3 linked regions of the Arabidopsis thaliana genome follow. The protein of the gene in region 2 interacts with the protein of the main gene of each other region in a pairwise test. Each region holds a gene or a part of one and is shown on either strand. Other genes may lie near its edges.

The links. The genes of interacting proteins can lie anywhere in the genome.
Region 1: the proteins of AT1G10585 (region 2) and RD26 interact in a two-hybrid assay, tested with the Arabidopsis thaliana proteins (one large-scale study listed by BioGRID).
Region 3: the proteins of AT1G10585 (region 2) and AT4G25160 interact in a two-hybrid assay, tested with the Arabidopsis thaliana proteins (one large-scale study listed by BioGRID).

Annotation. Positions count from the first base shown.
Region 1 is NC_003075.7:13,705,984-13,713,153, reverse strand, and holds RD26 (NAC (No Apical Meristem) domain transcriptional regulator superfamily protein), read left to right. Parts: upstream 1-4,140; coding exon 4,141-4,349; exon of another isoform or gene 4,350-4,407; coding exon 4,408-4,699; intron 4,700-4,782; coding exon 4,783-5,226; 3' UTR 5,227-5,254; downstream 5,255-7,170. Other genes in the region: ABCG9 (ABC-2 type transporter family protein), read left to right, coding at 55-720; AT4G27415 (uncharacterized protein), read right to left, coding at 2,468-2,602; AT4G27400 (Late embryogenesis abundant (LEA) protein-like protein), read right to left, coding at 6,517-6,973, 7,104-7,170. UniProt on the Arabidopsis thaliana protein: Transcription factors that bind specifically to the 5'-CATGTG-3' motif and with bipartite regions with 5'-CGTr-3' and 5'-YACG-3' as cores.
Region 2 is NC_003070.9:3,491,308-3,499,075, forward strand, and holds AT1G10585 (basic helix-loop-helix (bHLH) DNA-binding superfamily protein), read right to left. Parts: upstream 3,938-7,768; 5' UTR 3,798-3,937; coding exon 3,660-3,797; intron 3,378-3,659; exon of another isoform or gene 3,349-3,377; coding exon of another isoform or gene 3,307-3,348; coding exon 2,989-3,306; intron 2,898-2,988; coding exon 2,808-2,897; 3' UTR 2,463-2,807; downstream 1-2,462. Other genes in the region: AT1G10580 (Transducin/WD40 repeat-like superfamily protein), read right to left, coding at 253-259, 644-2,358; AT1G10586 (basic helix-loop-helix (bHLH) DNA-binding superfamily protein), read right to left, coding at 5,824-5,892, 6,031-6,348.
Region 3 is NC_003075.7:12,901,264-12,911,823, reverse strand, and holds AT4G25160 (U-box domain-containing protein kinase family protein), read left to right. Parts: upstream 1-4,227; 5' UTR 4,228-4,607; intron 4,608-5,121; 5' UTR 5,122-5,154; coding exon 5,155-5,353; intron 5,354-5,516; coding exon 5,517-5,638; intron 5,639-5,728; coding exon 5,729-5,850; intron 5,851-5,931; coding exon 5,932-6,110; intron 6,111-6,196; coding exon 6,197-6,612; intron 6,613-6,679; coding exon 6,680-6,781; intron 6,782-6,864; coding exon 6,865-7,293; intron 7,294-7,434; coding exon 7,435-8,193; intron 8,194-8,284; coding exon 8,285-8,464; 3' UTR 8,465-8,644; downstream 8,645-10,560. Other genes in the region: AT4G25180 (RNA polymerase III RPC4), read left to right, coding at 1-78; AT4G25170 (Uncharacterized conserved protein (UCP012943)), read right to left, coding at 435-709, 789-894, 984-1,227, 1,367-1,411, 1,675-2,084; AT4G25150 (HAD superfamily, subfamily IIIB acid phosphatase), read left to right, coding at 8,942-9,336, 9,532-9,741, 9,911-10,088. UniProt on the Arabidopsis thaliana protein: Functions as an E3 ubiquitin ligase.

The DNA.
Region 1 (7,170 bases), on a different chromosome or scaffold from region 2:
CTACATCATTGTCTATATCCATGAGGTGACCATACTTGTGGTTTATTGTTGCAGATAGGGCTGTTGTTCTTTATCTCATCCTTTTGGGCATTCTTCCCTCTCTTCCAACAAATCTTCACATTTCCTCAAGAGCGAGCAATGCTCCAGAAAGAACGTTCTTCGGGGATGTACAGGCTCTCGCCTTACTTCCTGTCCCGAGTAGTCGGGGATCTACCAATGGAGCTTATATTACCAACTTGTTTTCTTGTCATCACATATTGGATGGCCGGTCTAAACCATAACCTCGCAAACTTTTTTGTGACCCTTTTGGTACTCCTCGTCCATGTCCTTGTCTCGGGTGGGCTAGGGCTAGCCCTAGGTGCCCTAGTTATGGACCAGAAGTCAGCCACAACACTCGGGTCAGTCATAATGCTCACGTTTTTGTTAGCAGGAGGATACTACGTTCAACATGTACCAGTGTTCATCTCTTGGATTAAATACGTATCAATCGGTTACTATACATATAAACTACTGATATTGGGTCAGTACACGGCGAATGAGTTGTATCCATGTGGCGATAATGGGAAATTGAGGTGTCATGTTGGTGACTTTGAAGGTATCAAGCATATAGGGTTTAATAGTGGATTAGTCTCTGCCTTAGCTTTAACTGCGATGCTTGTTGTTTATAGAGTTATAGCTTATATCGCTTTGACGAGGATTGGTAAGACCAAATCTGGCTGATTACTTAGTTATAATCTCCACTTTTTATTTGTTTTTGATTTTAGAACTTTTTTGAGTAATTAAGAACGAATGTATAACAGCAATAAGTTCTTATTGCATTATTGTTTTTTGTTAAATCAATTATAGTTTGAGAGATTGATTTGGTCCGGCTGAAGTGGTCCAAGTTATATCAGAATCTAAGTAGTATAATGTGAAGAACATGTTCTGTGTGTGTATAAAAGGAAAGTTCAAAGCCAAATTCATGTTTGCTTATTGGTATGCGCTCCCAGTCCAACACACTTTACACGTTATCATTCCAGTCTTCATTAATTCGTACATCTAAAGACATTTTTAGCTCACGCGGTTTTATCTGATCACTTTTAAAAAGTCATATTCTGATATAAACCAAAAACCAAATGAAGAAATTGTATTCGAGCTGCTGACGAATTTGTGGTGCATATATAGTAAACGTACTATGGTCTATGGGCTTCCAAGCCTCCTATCCAAATGATATGATCACATAACCCATTATTTGAGATTACTTCAAGCAATAAGTGGTGTTAGGGGAACAATGATTTAACTTGGTTTCCAGACAATACCCTAAAAAATTCAGCCAATTTTTTTTGTAGTTTCTTGCAAAGTAACGTTTTTATGTGTTATAAATAAAATTAAAGAACAAAAAAAACAAGACATCAAGCGTTTGAGAAAACATAAAACTCTAATTTACATAAATGAGATAATAAAATTATTTTAATTTTTCTGTTTAAAGAAAATTAGGAAGAGGACTTAAAAAGTTAATTAATTAGTCGCTGGTACCCATTGCGGCCTTCTTAGTTTCTCATTTTATTTTTAATATATAAACCAGCTGATTGTTTTGTATGTTGTACGCTATTCATCATATATACGAACAAAATAATTATTCAACAATTTCAGAAAACAATTGCAGCTACAGATCGCTATTTTACACTTAGAATTGTCTTCTTAATTAATAACCATTTTCCAATTTATGTTTTTAAGTTCATTTAAAACTATATATATATATATATATATATATATATATATATATATATATATATGTTGAAGTTTGTCATTTTTGGAAGAATTGTGTTGAAGTGGGAACTATTTAAACATTTCATTGGTAAAAAAGGGTCTAAGAATCATCGATCTCTATATAGATTAGGTGCTACCATCTACAAAATTTTAGAAGAGTCTAAAATTCAGAATGGAATAGTCATCACTAAATCAATTATGAGTGTCGAATTAATTATGTAGTCCAGATTTTGCTTATCTACTATAAGTATTGTCGAATTAATTATGTACAAATGTAGAGTGCATATATAGACTATGCATTTAGAAAGCATAATGCCTTTTGTTTTTGTTTTCTCTCTTTTTCTTTTTGGTAAACCTTCGTGATCACCTTATCTCTTTTAAAGCTTTAACCAACATGTAACTTGGCAGAGAAAAACATACTTTAGAAAAGACCATATATAATATACGTTTAGAACTCATTAAATAGAAGTCTACCTATTTATTCTCTAAACAAATATTAAAATGATTTAAACGTCACCAACGATATTTATCGCAAAAGTGGTAAATTTCTGTCAATTAAAATGTATTTTTGAAAAAAAAGTAGAAAAATGTTATTAAAATAAAATAAATTCATTGAAGAATTTTTTGAACAAGTTTAGATTATGGCAATCTGTTCTTTACCTCATTGTCATCAAAACCATATCTCTTAATTTATTTTTTTGTCAGGATCATAAGAGCATTATACGCTAATTGAATAGCGATTGATGAGTTTCTTATCAACACATTTTGCAGTTATGCGAATCGTTGAACCAAACTTGTCGTATCTTTGCTGATATTCAGAAATTATTATCTTACAAAAGAAATGGGTGGGCATGTCCATCTCTCTGTGAACAAGAATTCTCCACGTTCACTAAAATCTAAAAATCCGAAAAGCAATTGAAAACGATTTGTAGAGAATAATAATAATTAAGAACAAAAAAAAAAGAATTATCAAGAAGAAGAAGAATCGAGTTCTTTGAATCGCGTCACATGTTTATATATAAAAAGGCTTCTCTGACCTGTTCAGCATGGTCCAAATATTCACTTGTCAACTTCTTAGGCCATTTCTAGTATTTCTTGAGTGAACGAAACCCTAATTAACCTCTTTTTGTTTAAATATAAACTAAAATATATGAAATAAGTCTTTTATGAGATAATCATTGAAATATATATAAAAATCGAATTTAGTTGTTCTGACAAAACTTGAAATTTATCCTTTAATCAAAAACAAAGAGACTACTTGCTACATTTGTGAGATAATCTTAATGGTATAATACAAACGATCATATATTCTCAAATGTTATTATCTTTAACTAAAAAATATTAAAATCATACTATTAGTGTTCTGTATATACGTGTCTTATGTTAACGTATCTTTTCAATTTATTTTAGTTAGAACTTTGTAGTTTGTACACTTGTTCAATATTTTCTGCTGTTTTTATTATTACTTTTTCTTCTTTTTTGTCTCTTTTGATTCTTTTATATTGAAGTCTTGCCTAACTCTCCCAACACGTGTACAATTCACACGGACGGGAAAATGCATTCCACGCGTGTCTGATTAATACTCTTTTGTTCATAAAAACGTCTTAGTGCCATTTGTTTTACTCAATAGATTTATCTGTCAAATAGTTAGTGCTTCTTCTTTTCTTTTTCTGACTCCAATCTATGTAGTGATCGAGTGCTTCAGGACAAACTAAATATCGAACTGGCCTCTAATTATTTGGAGCATTTTGATACACATCGTTGTTAGGCTTTTGATCAAAATTCTAGAAGAAAGGACAACTGGCTTAACACGTGTCGATAAACTTTAGCTTTTCCTGACGGTTCATGCACCCGAACGGCACCAATATAGTCGAATATAGAAATAATAAAGCTTCATTGCTTTCTCAGTGGAAAAAAACTTACTATAATTAGAATATTTCTAGTAAATATTTAGACATTTTACATGTCACGATGGAATAAGAAAAAATAAATTACTGCAATCACTCAGCGGACTTTTCTCATAATCGTAGTACACAAATTTCTTACTCATGAGAAAATTTTCCTCGTGTTTTTTGCACATTTATATCGCTGGAAAATATTGTACAACACATCGATAAGGTCGGCCAGTTCATAGACGTGGCAGTATCTAAATGGTTAAACGGGTCCACAAAGAAAATCGTAATTAGATTTTAGAACAGTAAGACAAGGACGACCGTACTTATCCTTGAAGAACCTTTGGCTTTTCCGTAGCCTATATAAACCAACTACTTACTATATTGTCCAAAAGATCGACGAACATAAAAACAAAAACATATAATTTGGGTTTTTAGAGTTCGAAACTTGAAATCTTTTTTTTTTTGGTTGCTGAGGAATCGAAGTAGAAGAGTATAAATGGGTGTTAGAGAGAAAGATCCGTTAGCCCAGTTGAGTTTGCCACCAGGTTTTAGATTTTATCCGACAGATGAAGAGCTTCTTGTTCAGTATCTATGTCGGAAAGTTGCAGGCTATCATTTCTCTCTCCAGGTCATCGGAGACATCGATCTCTACAAGTTCGATCCTTGGGATTTGCCAAGTAAGCAAACATGTTTCACATTTGTAGGGTGTTATTTTCAATTGTCATACTTTTGGGTTTAATTTGAGAAAATGTTAAAACTAAAGGGAGTATAATTGTAACTATTTAGGTAAGGCTTTGTTTGGAGAGAAGGAATGGTATTTCTTTAGCCCAAGAGATCGGAAATATCCGAACGGGTCAAGACCCAATAGAGTAGCCGGGTCGGGTTATTGGAAAGCAACGGGTACTGACAAAATTATCACGGCGGATGGTCGTCGTGTCGGGATTAAAAAAGCTCTGGTCTTTTACGCCGGAAAAGCTCCCAAAGGCACTAAAACCAACTGGATTATGCACGAGTATCGCTTAATAGAACATTCTCGTAGCCATGGAAGCTCCAAGGTAAATAAAGACTGAAACTTTCCCAGATCCAAATTCGTTAAAATTGAAATCAAAATCTGATAAAGTTTGCTTCTTTGTTACAGTTGGATGATTGGGTGTTGTGTCGAATTTACAAGAAAACATCTGGATCTCAGAGACAAGCTGTTACTCCTGTTCAAGCTTGTCGTGAAGAGCATAGCACGAATGGGTCGTCATCGTCTTCTTCATCACAGCTTGACGACGTTCTTGATTCGTTCCCGGAGATAAAAGACCAGTCTTTTAATCTTCCTCGGATGAATTCGCTCAGGACGATTCTTAACGGGAACTTTGATTGGGCTAGCTTGGCAGGTCTTAATCCAATTCCAGAGCTAGCTCCGACCAATGGATTACCGAGTTACGGTGGTTACGATGCGTTTCGAGCGGCGGAAGGTGAGGCGGAGAGTGGGCATGTGAATCGGCAGCAGAACTCGAGCGGGTTGACTCAGAGTTTCGGGTACAGCTCGAGTGGGTTTGGTGTTTCGGGTCAAACATTCGAGTTTAGGCAATGAGAGAGATGTGAAGTTACTGATGGGTGAAAAAAGTAAAAAAAAAACTTGGAGATAGTAGAGTGGCAATTGATGTAAATAATAGGGATTTATATGGGGCTTTTACCGATTCGGTGAGGCTTAGGATTCCACAAAGGAAAAAGGCTCGACTGGGGACTAGTTTGATCCAACTTGACGGCCCACAAATGTGTAATGTTTCTCAACGGAGAGAAAAATAAATGGTTACCAATATTTTTACACCGGTTATGTGTTGATACCATTTGCACAAAACGGTTTAAGTTCTGAATTGAATAACTTAACACCCAAAATTTGGTAAAAAGCTTAATACAAAAAGTTCAAAGGCATTTTCGCTTACTGCGACACTCGGAGTTGCAGAGTACTCTACGTAACAGACTCTGTTCATAGAGTTTGCGGCACCGGTGGTGGGACATTCTTGCGGACACAGTATGTACTTTTGGAAGCATCGTTCCTAAGGGTTGCTGCAGTAAACTCCTTGTGACTTGGCTCGCAAGAAACATAACATGGCCGCAAGAAAAAACAGCATTAACGAAGAGGTGTTTGAGATCTTCATGTCTAGTTTATTCTTCCTGTTTTATTATGTGTCGACTGGTGTCAAAAGAAACGTGTTGATTGTGAATTTGTAGACGCCACTCTGTAAATTTATTTAAAATAAACTATTTTACTTCACGTTGAGATCGGGAGTTGCCGGGTTTGTGTGCCTTATCTGGGCATCACCCACACATGCATTAAGTTGAAATGTATATGACTTTAAAAACTTGAAACTTCAAAAATAAAGAAAAAGTCTTTAGAAGTTACGTCCACACGAGCGTGATCCACACTTATCGGTCCTTATATTAGGAGCATTGTAACTTGCTGCAATAAGCTGCTCATTTTATTAATTTGACTTTTGGAAATCTTAAAACAACAAAAGTACATTGTATATATTAATAGCCGGATCCAAGAGTGTGATGCTTAACATCTTTTGATGTCTTAATTAAGTTGGGTTTTGAAGTCAGTGTTCAAATAGAAGATAACCTTTTTATCAATTTACGCTAGGCTCTAAATGATTACTGCGTATTTGGAGCACAACAAAAATATAATGGTTTTCTTAAGGATTAGATAATCTGGTACATGTAAATAACTGAGTTACAATTACTTTCTTTAGAATTTGGTTCTTAATTACCTTATTCCTCTGTTTTATTTTGACAAACATATAAATTTTATACGTACACAAAACATAACAATATACTTTTAATATCTGTAATTCTTAGCAAACTGAGTTTGTATTGGTAACTACTTTCTGCAGACGAGTCCATAGCCGGAAGACGCACCACGGCTGCAATCTAACAATGCGTATGTACTTTTGGGCTTGACAGAGCCACTCGCAACGGCGGGATCTTCAGAGAACAAACAAGTTTTGCAAACATGAGAGAGCAGAGAAGATGTCCTAAAGCTATCTTCACCTCCCACCACTGGCATTACGACTCCTGGTTTAGCCGGATTCTTAAAATCGGGTCTATAAGTGCGTCCCAAGATTCCATCGACTTTTGGGGACAGATTAATAAACTTGAACTGGACCTCAAAATGGGCAAAACAGTCATCTACAGGTAATTTGTAGTTGTGGATTCTATCATCTTCTTTGGTCACTGGAACCACGTTGACCATGATCTCAGCTTTGTCTTTGATAGTCACGATCACACTGTTCTTCTCTGTCAACCTTTCAATCTTGATGTCTTTGTCGGATGAGTACCTGATAATATGCATTAAAATAATGAGTGTTTACATGAAAATCTAAACGAATAGACAAAGATGACGTTTAAAAGTTGAAACAATCGCAACCTACAAAAATGATAGGGTAAAATTTGAGTTTCTATGATTACCAAGTGGATAAAGTTTCTTGAGGGATAATTAAATCTTGGCCGTCGATAGTGAACTTGAGGTGATCAA
Region 2 (7,768 bases):
ATTTCAAGTCTTACAAGCTATCTTTATAACGATTCAGTCAACAGTTTCTCTCAAGCATTTGAAATAGTTTTGGTCGTCCCTCTACATAATCCATTAAACCGAGATTGATACAACACTAAAGAATCTAAAACAGCGGAAAGCAAAACTCAAAGGGGCTTTGTATCCCAAAGATGCAGCATTCCGTATAGCCCAGGCTAGGCCGTGATTTCTGTGCCTTCTACTCTCTCTTTCTCCGAAATGCCTCTGCTTGTCTTAGTCCCTGCAAATGTGCAACAAAACATCACAATCAAACATTAGCCATGAGATTACGACATGGTTACATGGACTGGTAATTTTCAAAGATTTTACAATTGCGCAACTTCTTTATGAATAAAAACCATTAGAATCAAAGTCAAACTTTCTTTCCAAATCACTCCACAGATGTGAACTCAAAGTATTACTCATACACTAGGAATATACGATATCTGATTCCAAAAGAATTAAGACACATGTTACATGCAAGGATACTCAGATGACAACTTTAGCTTTGCTACAATTATATATACCAATAATAACTATTATGCAGCTGTTACGTAAAGGCACACACCACACATCATGACAAGAGAAACAAATAAACAAAATAGTCTGGAAGAAGGTTACATACCAGTACTTAATCAAGCCGTCCCAACCACAAGTTGCGACTTTACTCTGTTCCAGAGGATGCCACTCGGCTCCAATGCATACTCCATTGTGACATTTAAGAGTCCTAAACACTTTGCAGCTCTTCCAGTCCCAAAACCAGCACTTACCCTCACCATCTCCTGACATTACAAACCGTCCATCTGGCGAGAAGTTAACTTGGCATGCATAACCGGCAACAATGTGCCCTGCAAACCTCTTCTTTTTATTCAGCTGAAACCTTTCTCGGGTACTGTAGATCAGAATCTGGTTATCCAAACTCTGTGCAGCAAGCCAGTTTCCATTCGGGTGAACAGAAATGGAAGGCATAGAATGCATATGAGGCTCACTGATATACTTGATAACCACCGGGATCCCAAATTCCCAAACACGGAGAGACTTATCATCGCTCGACGTGACAAATCTTCTGTTATTGTCCACAAATGTGATAGTATTAACTGCCCCCAAGTGCTGATCATACTCTTGCGTAACCTCCCCCGTATTAATATCCCACTGCACAATCTTCTTATCACTCATACCAGCCAACAAAATGTTCTGCTTGTCATCATCCGGATTCAGCTTAACCACATACGGAATCTTCCCAGTGGAGAAAGTCGATATAACTTGGCCAGTTTCCGTGTCCCAATACTTAATGTTCTTATCATACCCAGCAGTCAAGAATTTAGACCCATCATTGGAGAAGCAAATATCCCTCACAGCTTTGGCGTGACCCATGTAAGTCCTCATACATTTACCAGAGTTATACACATCCCAAATCTTAACCTTACAATCCATACCTGCAGAGAGAAGCAAATGTCCTTGCTTTGGGAAGAACCTAATAGCGGAAACACCTTTCGTGTGCCCACTCCATGTATGAACCAAACGTTTTGGAATGTAGCAATGATCATTGTTCGCCTTAGCATCTTTAGGAGCCTCAATCCAAGACCTTCCTTGATAATCTTTCTCCTCTTTGCCATGGAAGGTACTCTTATCCGCATAATGCTCTCCTTTGGTTTCACCTTGTTGTCCCTTCTCCTCCTTCTTCTTGGCATGATCCTCCGCATACTTCTTCTGCTCCTCCGTCAACTCTCCCTGAACCACCTCCTTCTTCCTCGACCACGGACTCTTCCTATTCTTCCTAAGCCAAGCTTCCGTCTCCGGATTCTCAGCTTCCGGCTCAATCTCTTCCTTTTTCTCTTCCCCTTCCCTCTCCTCTTTGCTCCTCTCAATCTTCCTCCGCTTCTGCTCACTCTGAGGAATATTAAAAACCGAAAGACCATCGTTCTTCTTAAACGCCTCAACATCGCCGACGTAGTTCATCCCAGACGGATCCGCCGCGTAACCGCACTTATGAAACGTATGGTACTGCTCTTCAAACCCAAACGATCCAATCGAAGCATCTTCCACAGAACCTAGCTTATGATTCCGCATCCCTTGAGCGATCCCGTCTTTCGCATACGGATGCGCGGGGCCGAACATCGGAGCCCACAGCTGATCATGGGTAGGGTTATAAAAGACGACGTGTTGAGTCGGGTCAATCGGCTTCGATTTCGATTGATTCACGTTAGCCACCGTGAGAGCTAGTGCCGTATCGTCTACCTCCGGCGCCGATGATTTCGCCTTTAACATACGAGGCGGTGAAGATTCCGGCGAGGAAGCAACGGCTTCGTCTTCTTCTTCGTAGGATTGAATCAGATCCATCTCTCACGATTTTGCTCTCTTACCACAAGTGTTTGAGAAACTTTATACTGAGATTTTGCCTCTTTTCTCTTCGACAAGGGTTTCAAAATTCCTAAATCTAAAATAAGGGTTGCAATTTGTGCGATATTTAGATTTTCAAATATAGCCTCTTACTATTTTTTTCTTTTCACATTTACCCCAATAGTGTATTTTATTGACATTTACATCCCACTGTCTTACTCGGTGGTTAAAATTATGCAAATCTGGACCAATCTAAAATCACGCCAAGCCAAACTGAATTAAACCGGGATGAATAAAAACGAAACGACAACGTTTTAAGGTTTCTTATGTTGACGGTCAACATATTTATCATAATCGAACTCAAAAGCAATTACTCATCTCATATTTAAAGAACTAACACATGTGTGAAAAAACACACTAGCGTTAGCGTAGACTTATCATTTGGGATTTCATGCTTCAAAATATATATATCCATAGATGATTTTCCGTACTCTCTCTTCTATCCTTGATGGATCAATGCCAATCCGACTAATGATAGCCTGCAAATATATGTAATAAAAATTTATACGAAAGACATGACACATGCATATACGTGTGTATTATACAAACATATGCGTGTGGATGTGGTACCTGGGCTATGATTGTGTAAGTGGTCCTATCATTCAAGTTCTGAAGATTAGCACTCATTACTTGAGCTCCTTCTTCTTCAAAAATACTCACAAGCTCGTGTAACATTACTCTTTTCATGTTTAGATCCATGATCAGATTCATTTCTATGGTCGAATCCCGCGAACGAATACTGAGTTTGGGTAGAAGAAACGACCCTTCGTAGAGATTCCCGAGTTCTCCTTGTAACAATGTCCTTTTCTTCTCTTTCAAATAATTTACATTCTCTTTCAATTGGATCATGTATGATGTCGCTTGATCTATAAGGTGAGGCACTGGTAACTGTTTAGATCCCAAAAAAAACCCCAAGATAATTACTTTCATTAATCTTTTACATGAATGTGGTTATATTCAATATATATAAATAAACCGTAAAAACCCTAGCTACGTGAATCATTTATTTGTCAATTAGACACCGTACTTAAAAGAGAGCTAATATGGACGGTCATAGAGGGACAACTGCCTATTCAATTAATCAAAATATTATCTCTTTAGAATAAAACGTACATCTTACAGTAATTATGTAGATAATGTTTGTATTGTTGTATATACGCATAAAACACATCTACAATTTAATATAAGATATATATAGAGAGAGAAAGAGAGAGAGGGAGAGTTAGAGAGAAAAAACGGACCTTGCGAGTGGGAGAAACATGAGAAGAAAGTATAGAGAAGAGATGTTTCATGCGCATCCTTCGATCCTTCTCTCTGAGGTTTCGTTGTTCCCTTAACGACGATGAGTTTCCTTCTCCTATTTCTCTTGCTCTCCCCATTCTTTTTGTTTTCTTTTAAGCTTTTATGTACAAGTTTCTCTTTTCAAATCCATCTCTCTTTATATACAGTTAAAGAGATAGAGAGGGCCGGGAGATACAGAGTCACAAATCTCAACTTTGAGAGAAAGAGCTACGTGATTTAGATGAAAGGGATGTTTTGGAAGAAAGTCATGGCTTTTGTGATTGCGTCCGTGAGCTTACACACTAAATTAATAAGATGCATGCATCTTTCCTACCAAGTAAATTTTACTATTTACTTCGGAATTTCCACGTTCTTAAAGATACAAAAGTTTCAAAACAATTAGATATGTTGTTTATCATTAAAAAAAAAATTAGATTTGTTGGTGGGTTGACACATTACTAGGACGCATCATAATTTCGATGTAAGATTTCTAACGTTCAAAGACATAGTTTAGATAGCATCATGCTTACCGTGTGAGATGAGATTCCTAACGTTCAGAGATATGATTCTTCTTCTTTCAGATTACTAACCATGAGTTTAAGTCCTGTGATTTACAGTAGGTTTGGAGAAAATTATTATCAAAAATCATTTCAATGGCGTAAAATAGTCAACAGCCACGGTAGACAAAAATGAATTCCTTACAACAGTACTATATATGTTTCTATCAACAAATAGAAAAGGAAAATTGTTTTGTATACTGATAGAATCGGGACCACTAAATCAAATAGTATCATCATGTTCAATTAATTTGGTGCACGTATTCATTATCCGAGGAAAGTATCATAAGGCGCCATAACCTAAGATTATTCAACAAGCTATCATTATCATAGAAGAAAAGGACACAACACATTCGGCATTCCTTACATAAATTATTAAAGGCCCTCAACTCTCTTTGGCCGTATGGCCGACATCGTTCACCGGATAGGGGATCTACATGGACCGATCGTCTAAACGTTCACCGGAGGTGAATACAAAGACAGAAAATTAAACATGCCTAGTTTTGTTGAGTCTTGGAGTACTCCAGGTAGATGTTGGTCATAACTTTGCCACTGAGCAAACTGACATAAAAAGTAAAAGGAGCCGCAATATGATACTAACACTGTGTATATATCGTCTCGCTGCTTGACCACTTGCTTAGAAACTGAGTAAGGGACAATTATATCCTTATTGCATTTTCCACATGTTATTCTTTTTTTCCTTCTTCAAATATTTGAATTCGTACAAGAAGAGAATAGTCATTTGGTAACTATCATAATTCATAGCCATTGAAAATCCGTGACTAGAAATACAGATTAGCCCAATTTTAAAATGTTAAGCCTATAATTACTTGTAACTAATTCTGTGGCTAGAAAAGGATGATTACTTATAGTTAGAAAATTTGTAGCGAAATTTTTGTTATCGATCTATATATACTGTCCAATTTATATAAGACATTTAGAAAAAAAGATTTGTTTACTAGTTATGTCGTGTATATATACATGTTTTTTAAGTTTTAGTTAACTATATTCACATACAAAATCTAACCATGTGTGATTTTAGGAGAAAACAAAGATGAATGTCCTTGCTATCGCAATATGAAAAACTCCAAAAGTGGATCCAAATGCCTATGCCCTTGAACATGTTTTGAAGATAGTCATCAGATGCATAACATCTATCTATTCTATGTATGCAAATATCAATTACGACTATTTTAGACGGCGCCTGTAATAAAATATTTGAGCTTAAAATGCTCAATGAAAGAAAATTTGAGAGTTCTTGACAATAAAAGTAGATAATATATTTTATATTTAAACATGAGATTCTATAAACGTAATAGAGATTAGGCATAGAAAGAAAAGAGAAAATAAAGAGATTTTGAAGATGATGTGAGAGGCTTTTTCGTTCATATACTTGAGGAAATGGTATTCAGACATTTGATCATTCTCTTTAACTTAAACAACAATAGGGCTATTACACCAATTCACTCTTAAAAATACTCATAATCTCATGTTTAAAGAACTAACACATTTAATTTGTTAAGAAAAGACTTGTGATTTGGGATTCAATAATGCTTCAAAAAATTAATCATGAGATTATATCCCTTAATCTCTCTTCTATCCTTGATGGATCAATCCCGATCCGACATATGATAGCCTGCAAATATTCATTTAGGTGATTATTAATTTATCATATATATATAGTCCTTCAAAAAAAGTTCAAACTATATTTTAATGATATGGAACAAAGAGATGCTGCTAAAAAAAAAAAAAAAAACATGACACATGCATGTACCTGGGCTATGATTGTATAAAAGGTCCTATCATTCAAGTTCTGAAGATTAGCACTCATCACTTGAGCTCCTTCTTCTTCAAAAACACTCACAAGCTTGTGTAACATTACTCCTTTCATGTTTAGATCCATAACCAGATTCATTTCTATGATCGAATCCAGTGAACGAATACTGAGTTTTGGCAGAAGAGACGACCCTTCAGAGCGATTTTTGACTTCTCCTCCTAACATTCTCCTTTTCATCTCATTCAAATAGTTTACCTTCTCTTTCAGTTGGATCATGTATGATACCGCTTGATCTATAAGTTGAGGCACTGGCAACTGTTGGTGCCAATAAAAACACACAACCTAGTTACTTCCATGTCTTTTGTATGAATTTGGTTATAATCGTTATATGTATTAACTAAAATGTAATATACTAGATTTTAACCCGCGGTACACCGCGGGAACAATTGTTTTTTTAAATTAGTATATATAAAAGTTCGTAAATTATATCTATCTATAAAATATATTTATTTTACAGTTTACAACTGTTATTAAGTAATGTCCTTTCAAACCCGTCCCGCCAAACCCGTCCCGTAAAAAAAAACTACAGTACATCGTTGATTTAAATATATAATTAAAATAAATATTTTACGGGATTACAATTGTACTTTAGTTTGTCAAACAATTTTTGTTTTAAATAGTTGCCGAAATCTAGTTTAAATTTTGGAGAAATAAGATTTAGTGAATTGATAAAAAAATGTATTTAAGTGCGTTTTGCTCATTTTAAGGGATTGCAATTGTATTTTGGTTTGCCAAACATTTTTTGTTATAAATAGTTACCGACATTTAGTTCAAATTTTGAAGAAATCTGCGTGATATATGAGATTGTAATATATTTGAAATAGTTTTGAGAACGATGATTTTGTTACGTTTTAATACATGTACATTTTACTAACTGAAAATATGAGATTGATTATTTGTATAACACGGAAAATATGAGATTGATTCTTTATATTACAATGAAAATGAATGATTCAAAACTAAAGATCATAGTGTAATATAGTTTAGCTTAGAAAATAATTAAAACGATTTTATTTATTTATTTAGTTTTCTAAATTTTAGTTTAGATTCAGAAAATAATTGTTTAATTTCCTTAGAAGATGATAAACATATATGGAAGATTTGAATCTCTATATATTTTAAAAATCAATCAATAATGTCAATATAATTAAAGGATAGATTAGAAAAAAGTTTCTTGAATGCTAAATAATTAATTTGTTATTTATAAACAAAATATTAAATGCTGTAAAAACGAAATATTAAATAAATATGGAAAGAAAATTCTACCTTAAAATATTTTGTACTATTAAAACCGATTTTTTTTTTGCAGCAAATTAAAACCGAAAATTAATAAATACTTAAGAGAGATTTTAGGAATGATTTTTTTGAAGTAATGTTAGACTTTTTTTGAAGTAATGGTGGATTTAATATAGAGACATTTTAGGCAATATTTTTGTTAGGTAAATATTTGATTTAAAATGTCGATTGAAAAAAATAAATTCAGTGGCATTGAGTCGTAAATAAGTTCTAAGTCCAGGATTTATTTGTTAAAATGACTGCAAAAATGTATATATAGATATGAATCATTTGTTTTAACTCTACACTACATATAATGGTCCTAGCTGGCTTGTACTAAATACTGAGAACCCTAGCTAAATGCTGCACTTTGATTGATCTGGTTCAAATCAAGATGATT
Region 3 (10,560 bases), on a different chromosome or scaffold from region 2:
TCAGCGAAGTTTGTTACTGTTACTCCCGATGTTGAGTCTCTTTTGAACCCTGCTTCAGACATGGAAACACAGAAGTGAAGGTTGCTCTGGAAATAGCCGGTCCTGTTCATACAAGGATGTGAAAAAGCGTAGTATTGACCACTTAGATTCTGTATCTACAAACTAATCTTCAACTATGATCGTAAAAAAACTCTTCTTGCCTCCTTGGTGTCTTCTTTTGTAATAAGAGATTCAGTAGTTGTTGGGATAAAAGAAAATGCTCAACATTTTGACACATTCAGAGTGTTCTTATTATCGAAATCTACTAAAATGTCAACAATGGAGTACAGAACCAAAGTAGTATCAAACAAACCACAATATGACCTGAAACAAAAGCTAAACAAGCAGCATGATGAAGACCAAATGTATTGTCGGCTAATTTGAAACGATCAAGACTAGTTGCAGGCTCGGGATACCATCACGACCAGCATAACGATGATGGATAGCAGGACCGAAGTGGTCAGCTTTTCCTCGAGCCAATTGTTGAATTTGGCATCTTTCCCCTTGTTGTTAACACCATCACCATTGTAACAATTGAAGAGCTCGGTCACGACCTTTGTTATTTTCACAAACACTTCCGTGGCCTTAACCATTGTGTTGTCAAATACCCACTTTATGAAATCCGTTGCTGCGTTATTCTCCCTAGGGGTGTCTTCTGAATTTTCCTCATCTGTAATACAAAAACTGAGTCCCCTGAGAAGTCTGTCAAATGAAATGTTTAGATTGATCAATTCATTATCTCTTTATACCTTGACTTATGCCATTGTTGTACAAGTCCCTAATCTCTCGCACCACATCGTTGTTCATCACCGCCTCCCAAACTGCTTTGTCAGACGACAATGATACTACCATTTTCTGCATTAAAATGTGAAAAAGCCCTTTCTTCATGTACCAAAAAGTAAACATGAGCTTAGTGTAATCAAGAAAACAAAAGAAAGTATCACCTGGACAGATGGTTCGGTTCGTAGTAGGTCAAAAGCATTGTAAACCTGATCATAAGCATGAGGCTTTAACGTTCTTGAATGGCATAAATGCATTGATGGCTCCATCCAGTCCGAATCCGACCCGAATGAAGGAACTTGATGAACCATCCCTGTGGCTATAGGGCTCTGGTTTCCACCACCATTTTCCGGATAGCACTCGTATTTGTCTCTAACCAGCTGGGAATATGAACTAGCATCGAAAACCCTTCAAGAAAATAAAACAAAACCGTTACTCCAACACGTAAACAGAACACAAATATTTCGAAATCCATAAGATAACAAAGACCAATTACTATTATGAATAAACCAGCAAACAACTTTTGAAAGTATTTTAAGTACAAAACAACTGAGTGGGGTCACGGAGACACAGCTGAAAGAGTTTCAAACTTCTTCAAGATCATCAAATCAAGACAATTCCATCCATATCAGGAAAGAAAACAATTAAACTTTGAGACACTATAGCAGTCCATAACAATTCTCGTGTCTCTCTCTATTACTTAGACAACTCGTGGGAACTAATACCTACCACTCAAAAGTGATCAATTTATGAGATTTTATGACAATAATTTCCACAAGACTCAAACTCAAATAGTCACATCCAAAGAATCACACATTTTCAAGTGAAATGAGAAAAGAGAAGAAATTAGATTACTGCTGGAGAGCAGAAACAGCATCTTGGACTTCATCAACAGAAGGAACAGAGCCAAACAGAGAATCATCTTCTTCCTCAGAAACCCACTCAAAATCATCATAACCTCCAGAATTAACAAAGGAAAAAGGACCGCCGCCGCTCCATCCGGAGGTTGCAGCCACCGGAAGATTCAACAACAACCCAGAAGCCGCGGAATACGTCAGATTATTCGACCCAGAAGAAGAAGATCTCTGTTTCTGGACATGCGAAACAGAGGCGTTTCCAGCCGGAGACGACGTGGACGATGATGATGAAGAAGCAAAGGGATCTTGAATACCACCGTTGGCTACACCGGTCCTCGTCATCGCACGACCGGCGGCGCGTAACATACCTCCGCCGCCACCCATAGGCCCTCTTCCTCCACCAAACATAGAGAGATCACTATCAAATTGTTTTTACTTACACGACAGGTTGCGTATGTTTACTCGGTGAGTTTGTCTTTTGGTCCGATGCTATTTCGTAGGCTTTTTACTTGAAGCAGTTTTGATTGAATCGAGGAAGTGGATAAATGCGAAATGTCTTTTATAGATTTTCAGGAATATATGACTTTCTTTACTTTGCTTTGGTCCTTCTTCTCCACGACACGCTTATCCGTTTACTCTGTTTTCTTTTTTTCCATTAAATGCATTAAAATACTACTCCACTGTTGTTATAATAATAATTGTTTCAATACTGGATTATATATCCCAAATTTATTTGGTACGTCAGCATATGAGTTTCCAAAAACGAAATAAAAACATAATAAAAAAAAAAGAGACTATGCTTTATTATAACTAAAGGTGTACATAGATCAAATCATAAAATTTCATATTCAATTTGGATAATTTGGATGTGGTTAAAAACCTAAAAGTCTAAAACCAGTACGTAATAGTAGTTTTCTTTTTTTCCGTGTAACATATGTATGGGTTTATATAAACCAAAACATATTTGTAGGTCTTTTTCATTTTGAGTTTCGGTAGCGTTTTCAATTGGATTTTATTTGAATTTTAATCCAAAATAATGGATTTTTATCATAGTTAGACAAAAATTTCACGGAATTTATGGGTAAATAGTTTTTCTTTTGTTCGTGAATGTCAACGAACATAGGCATTTTTAGTGTGGTCAAACTATGTTTAAGTTGATGTGTGTATGTATCTGACAGGTAAGTCTGTTGTTTTGCAAACATGTTTTCAATATCATTCTTTACCAAAAAATGATATTTTCATATTACAAAGCAGATTATTTTAGAGTAACTTTGTAAACTATTCAAAACAAATGTGTACACAAAGGTTACTTTTGCATTTAAACCTTTATGTAATTAATAAATCAAGTCATTTCAGCCATTAATAAATTAAGATATTTGTATCTAATTCAACATTGTAAATTATCATATTTAAAAGTTCTTCCACTATCAAATTTCATCATCGCCATATAATTAGAGTTTCTACACTCGATCATGTATTAAAAGAAGATCTTGACCACACACACAACAAAAGAAACAAATTGTAAGAAAATACCCATTTGCAAATTTCCTATTAATAAGTTATAAATAAATTATATGTCATTTGCTATTTACTAATGTCATTTATCCAGTTTTCATTGGACAAACTCTGCCTTTTTCGTCCATTTTTTTCTTAAAAAAAGATGGCCATTCATAGTAAAAAGAATATTATGTAGTGCAACACAATATTGATATATATTCTTATATTTTTGACAGAATTTGTTCTTTAGTTTTTGCATCAAACAAAACGAGAATGGAGAAAATAATCATTGATATATTGACCTGAACACTAGTCGTTTACATTCAGAATACACAATAGTAATACGAATACTAGACTCAAGAGCATGAAAACTCCAAAACCAATTTGAAAGTGGGAAGACATTTCGTACGGAAAAAAGGAGAATCAACATAAGAAAATAATAATAGATTTTAAGTTTATAGAGATATTAGATAATTGAAATTTGAAAATAATGTGTCCTGATCGAATATTTCATGATGAATGACTACAGGGGATGAAGATTTTAGCGTCGAGACAAGACAAGTTTAAAATTCGAGTTTTTTCCACCTTTTATCATCAATCATCAAGGAACAATGACATGCCAATTCGTTTTCCATAAGTAACTTTTAATGTTTTTAGCTTCTATAGATACTTTGAATGCTTTTATTCTAAAAGGTCTTTGTTGACAAGGTCAAAGAGCCTAATCGAATCCTCTTGATCAGCCAGAGAGTTTTGCCTTCGTCTTTGGATTTTGCCAAAATTGGTTACTTAATCAGCCAGAGGTTAAAACTCGTAAACCGGCGTTTAAATTGAACCGGCCAAATCACGGTTCAAATGCGAACCAATGTTGTAGGTGAACTCTACCAAAGTCTTGTACCACTCCACTATGCATAAAGGGGAGGAGACAAAAAGACGTGAGGAAGACATAGATCATGCGTGCAACTATGGCCAAACTCGATATAATAATGGCGTTGAGGAATGTAGTTAAATACCAAATAATTAGGGAATTAAGAGATAAACTATGATTAAACTAATAGTCAAGGCCTAAGGTTGGAGAAAACTTCTTTCTTTTAGAACACACTCTCCTTCTGTCACTCTGATAATGAAGAAAATTCAGGCGAGAGAACAAAAGAGTATATACCCAGGACTGATCCTCCTTTGACCATTAACATGACCAACTTGTCTCATTTTCTTATTATTTTTGATGCTTCTTTTCAAATCTTTTTTAGATTCTCTGGTTATAAGAACCCATTGTTTGTATCTGAGATTAGCAGCACCAACGTGGGTCTTCATCTTCTTCTTCTGCTGCTCTCTTTATTTTCTGAAATTGATTGCTCTGTGAAATGGAAGCTTCCACCATTTCTTCTCTCAATTTTTGTATTGGGTTTGACTAAAGTCGCATCCTTTATTTACCAGGTAGGTTCAATTTCTGGTTTTCTTGTTTAACTCTATGCCCTGAAGATGGTCCCTTTGATTGACTTGATCAATGTTTCATAACCTTTCGAATTCTCTGCAATTGCATTGTGCTCAAAGTTGACATTTTTATTGGAAAGTTTGAGTTTTTTTTTTTATCTTTATAAGAAGCTAGCTATTTGTTAGCTTCGATGGTCGTTGAGTGTTGTTGCTTTACGATCCTTTTGGTCGTCCAAATTAGACTCTGAGACATTTGACTTTCAACGCTATTAAGAGTATCTCATGATCGGTATACCTCCGTTAGATTCTGTCAATACTTATTATTATTTGCCTTTTCGGTTTGATGAGTTGATATTCAACATTCAGCTATGTGAGTTCAAATATAATTACTGTCTGTTGATTCCCACTGACTGGAGAGTTTTAGCTTTCCCTTTCTTTCATGTTATCTCTACTTTAGGAACAAAACACTCTTTTTAGAACATTGTTTTGCAGTGTCTGAAATGGTTGTAGTGTGCAGGGTCAATAGAAACAAGAACACAAAAGATTAACAATGAGTAGATCACCAGACAAGCTTGCTCTTCCTCCTCCTCCTCCTCCTCCCCCATCTCGTACCGTCGTTGTGGCTCTAAGTGGGAGCAGTAAAAGCAAATATGTAGTTACATGGGCGATCGAAAAATTTGCTACTGAAGGAAATGTTGGCTTCAAGCTGCTTCACATCCATCCAATGATTACTTCTGTACCTACACCAAGTAAAGTTCCAACTATGCCTTGTATTTCTGTTTCTTTCTTTCTTGTACTCAGGACTTCTTCCTGTGTTTCCCTTTTTTCTATTTGGTATTGTTGTGTAAAACAAAATCAAGACTTATTGTAACTGATAAAAAGCCTGATGTACATTTCTTGCTCCTTCTCAAGTGGGAAATGCAATCCCGATTTCCGAGGTACGAGATGATGTAGTAACTGCATATAGACAGGAAATACTGTGGCAGTCTGAAGAAATGCTTAAACCTTACACAAAACTGTTCGTGCGGAGAAAGGTATTTTCTTTGGTATAATGAGATATCTTACGCTCTTCTTTAATGAAAATTTCAAGGTTACATGAACTCATTGAATTACCTTAATGAAAGGTTGCAGTAGAAGTTCTTGTGATCGAATCAGATAATGTGGCAGCCGCAATAGCTGAAGAAGTGACTCGGGATTCAATAGACAGAATTGTCATTGGAGGCTCATCCCGTAGTTTTTTCTCAAGGTACACTACCACCCTGCTGCTAGCTTTCGACCTTTGTTCTTTCTATTCCGTGTACCAATGAATCTGTTTTGAAAATTCCAGGAAAGCTGATATTTGCTCGGTGATATCAGCTTTGATGCCAAACTTTTGTACAGTCTATGTTGTTTCAAAAGGTAAATTGTCATGCGTCCGACCATCAGACTCAGACGGAAATGCTACTATAAGAGAAGATGGTAGTGAGAGAACAAATTCTTCAAGCGGTTCTTCTGGTCCCACCTCAGGTCCATGACTCATCAATGTATTTGTGTGAATACTCTACTAGAAATGGTGTGTATATCTAATTCTGTTACCCCATTTTCTCTTCTAGATTCATCAGATGTAATGTCAAGTGCGCATGACTCTCAATCTCGTCCTCTATCCCTTCCGGTCAGGAGAATGCAACATTTCCCTGCAATTGCAGGACAGGCATCAGTTCCAATGGAAACGAGTTCTGTTGGCTCGGATGAAACCAGGTGCATGTCTTTGGATGCAGAGGAAGCTAGAGATGTTTCAAGTATCAATAGAAGCAGCACAGATACTACATCACGTTGGACTCCTCGGCGTAGAGATTATGAGGAGAGAAAAGAAGCTATGAGTTCTTCTTCGAGCAACCGTGAATACGGGAATTTTGGTACTAGGTTTAGTTGGAGTGGCATGGGTGTCGATACTACACACTCTCGGGCTTCTCAACAAGCTTCCAACATGTCTGATGCTCTAAGTGAACAATCCTATACAGACAACCAGGTATAAAATGGAGTTTTAATTTCGACATTGTCTTGTGAATCGGAATAATATAAGATTATTTGTTCAGGTAAACCTAAACTTTGAGGTTGAGAAGTTGAGAGCTGAGCTTAGACACGTTCAAGAAATGTATGCTGTGGCTCAAACCGAAACCTTTGATGCTTCTCGAAAGGTGAAGGCCTCATAATATCATATATCTTTGCATTTGATGAAACTTATTAAATTGTGCTCAATGCTTTTCTGAAAATGTTTCAGCTTGGTGAACTTAACCAACGTCGGTTAGAAGAAGCCATAAAGCTTGAAGAGCTAAAGCTGAAGGAGTATGAAGCTCGAGAGTTAGCAGAAAAGGAAAAGCAGAATTTTGAGAAGGCAAGGAGAGATGCAGAGAGCATGAGAGAAAGAGCAGAGAGAGAAATTGCGCAGAGAAGAGAAGCCGAAAGGAAATCCGCACGTGATACTAAAGAGAAAGAGAAGCTCGAGGGCACTCTCGGGTCTCCTCAGCTGCAATATCAGCACTTTGCTTGGGAAGAAATTATGGCTGCCACTTCATCATTCTCAGAAGAACTGAAGATCGGAATGGGAGCTTACGGAGCTGTTTACAAGTGTAATCTGCATCATACAACTGCAGTTGTCAAAGTTTTGCAGTCAGCTGAAAATCAACTTTCCAAACAATTCCAACAAGAGGTATGGAAGTGAGCTCAAATTTGGTTTAAGGAACTTTGTTTGAGATTTTGTGCCTTTCACTATATGGAAGTTTTCTGATTTTAATTTCAATTCTTGTGGATAAGAGTCTACATTTATCTCACTGGCCTCTCTAATTTGCAGCTCGAAATCTTGAGCAAGATTAGGCATCCACATTTGGTTCTCCTTCTAGGAGCGTGCCCGGAGCAAGGTGCTTTAGTTTATGAGTACATGGAAAACGGTAGCTTGGAGGACAGACTTTTCCAGGTCAACAACAGTCCGCCACTCCCGTGGTTTGAGCGGTTTAGGATTGCTTGGGAAGTTGCAGCGGCTCTTGTCTTCCTCCACAAATCAAAGCCTAAACCAATCATTCACCGTGATCTTAAACCTGCAAACATCTTACTTGATCACAACTTTGTCAGCAAAGTTGGAGACGTGGGACTCTCAACGATGGTTCAAGTCGATCCTCTATCAACTAAATTCACTATATACAAACAAACAAGCCCCGTGGGAACGTTATGCTATATTGATCCGGAATATCAGCGCACTGGAAGGATATCATCGAAATCAGATATCTACTCCTTTGGAATGATTCTTCTTCAGCTTCTCACAGCAAAACCTGCTATTGCATTGACACATTTCGTTGAGAGCGCAATGGATAGTAATGATGAGTTCCTTAAGATCTTAGATCAGAAAGCCGGTAACTGGCCGATTGAAGAAACCCGGGAATTGGCCGCATTAGCTTTGTGTTGTACAGAGCTACGCGGGAAAGATAGACCTGATTTGAAAGATCAGATTCTTCCAGCGCTCGAAAACCTAAAGAAAGTAGCTGAAAAGGCAAGGAACTCATTTTCCGGCGTATCGACACAGCCTCCCACTCATTTCATCTGCCCATTACTTAAGGTAAACTCTATATAAAACCTTGTTCAATGTTGAAACATCTCATCTCAGTGTGTTGTGGTGAAAATGTGTGAGCTTGTGTGGTATAATGCAGGACGTGATGAACGAGCCGTGCGTTGCAGCAGACGGATACACATACGACCGTCATGCGATAGAGGAGTGGCTTAAGGAGCACAACACATCGCCGATGACGGATTCACCGTTGCATAGCAAGAACCTTTTACCCAATTATACTCTTTACACAGCCATCATGGAATGGAGGTCTACACGATAGTAGTAAGCCAAACTGTGTAGCGTTTTTGTGGATATATAAACGGCAAGACGTTTTGCTTTGTACTACTACTACACACATGCTGAATCAAAAATATAAACCGAAACGAAACCTTAATCATCTTGTAAACGAATATTCGGATCCATCCGTTAATTTGCCTCCAAATAAGAACACAAAACCATTGCCCTTTATTTTTCATTTTGGTATTTTGGTCTTTTTTGTCTCTCTTCCTTTCCATTGCCCAAAAAGAAACAGAAACTTTTCTCCGAGAATCCTCATTTCTCCGTTGAAAAAAGGACCTTGAGAGGAAATGTTTCACTGTTTCTAGGGTTCTTATAATCCACTTCCTCATCATTAGAGAATGGAAAATCTCCTCTTCTCTTTGATATTTCTTCGGATTTCGCTTATGTCCTGAATCTCTTGAAGACCCAATTGAAAAAATCTCAACTTTTTTTCTCCCGGCGTTTCCGGCGATATACAATGCGGATTCTCGTGAATCTCATTCTCTTCTCCTTGATTCCTCTGGCGTTCTCCAATGAAAACTCCAGCTCGTATCTCATTGCGCGACCATTGATCTTCGAAACCCAGCTCAAGAACATAAACGACAATGTCAATCTACATTGCACGAGCTGGAGATTCGCGGCGGAGACAAACAATCTCGCTCCATGGAAAACCATTCCAGCTGAATGCGCCGATTACGTGAAAGATTACCTGATGGGTGAAGGTTACGTCGTCGATGTGGAGAGAGTCTCCGAAGAAGCTAAGGTTTACGCGAGCAGCTTCGAATCTAACGGTGACGGGAAAGACATTTGGATTTTCGATATTGATGAGACGTTATTGTCGAATCTTCCTTATTACATGGAACACGGTTGTGGGTAATTTATCTTAAATCTTTCATTTTACAACATTGCTATAAAAAGTTGGTTCCTTGATAATTGTATAGATGGATTTGTCTTTTTACTATGTCGAATTAGTTAAGATTTGAGGTATGTGTTGTTGTCTGTCTTTTTCTTTGCTTGTTTGTCTATGTATGATAAATGTGAATGTTTGTTCTGTTTGGGAATTTGCAGGTTGGAAGTTTTTGATCATTCAAAGTTTGATATGTGGGTAGAGAAAGGGATAGCACCTGCTATAGCACCAAGCTTGAAGCTTTACCAAAAGGTTATACATTTGGGGTACAAAGTTATCTTGCTTACAGGGCGTAGAGAGAACCACCGGGTTATCACTGTCGAAAACCTGCGCAATGCCGGTTTCCATAACTGGGACAAGCTTATTCTGAGGTATGCATACTCTACTTTTGGACCTCCATTACAATGTAGCTCATACAGTTTTTAACCAACTATTGATCTGGATCCATGGTTGTGGTAACATGACGTTGTTTGATCTTGGATTGTAATCTTGGGTTTGAATGGATGATTGACGCTTTGGTTTGCTGCTTAATGTTAATAGATCGTTGGATGATCGGAACAAAACAGCGACCATGTACAAGTCAGAGAAGAGAGAGGAGATGGTGAAAGAAGGGTATAGGATCAGAGGCAATTCAGGTGACCAATGGAGTGATTTGTTGGGTTCTGCAATGTCAGAAAGATCCTTCAAACTTCCAAATCCAATGTATTATATCCCCTGAAGGGGATCAACTAGAATCAGGAGGCAATTCAGGTTACTAAATGGAGCAACCTACTGTTTTTGAAGTTTGGGTTGCCATGTAATCACTTGCAATAAATATATGTACTAATGACTGCATCGGCTTGCGTGTCTAAATTTGTAGCTTATTGAAAACTTTTTGTGGTTAAAGACGAATCCAGTTAACTAACATAAGTTTAACAAAACAAGACCTTTTCCATATATAGACCACCGTTACCAACTTACAAAGAAGCCAAATAAAGTACAACACAACACTTGCAAGTTACAAAAAGAGAGGAAAAAAAACATGGTACCATTTGACAACATATAGAAACACACATAAACATTACTTATAACAAAAAGATTCAAACTCGGCTTTTATTATCTCCCCCTGATCAAATTCTAAACACTTTATTCCTCATAAACTAACTCCCCGACATTGGAGTTATTGGACTATGACGATGACATCAGTGGGG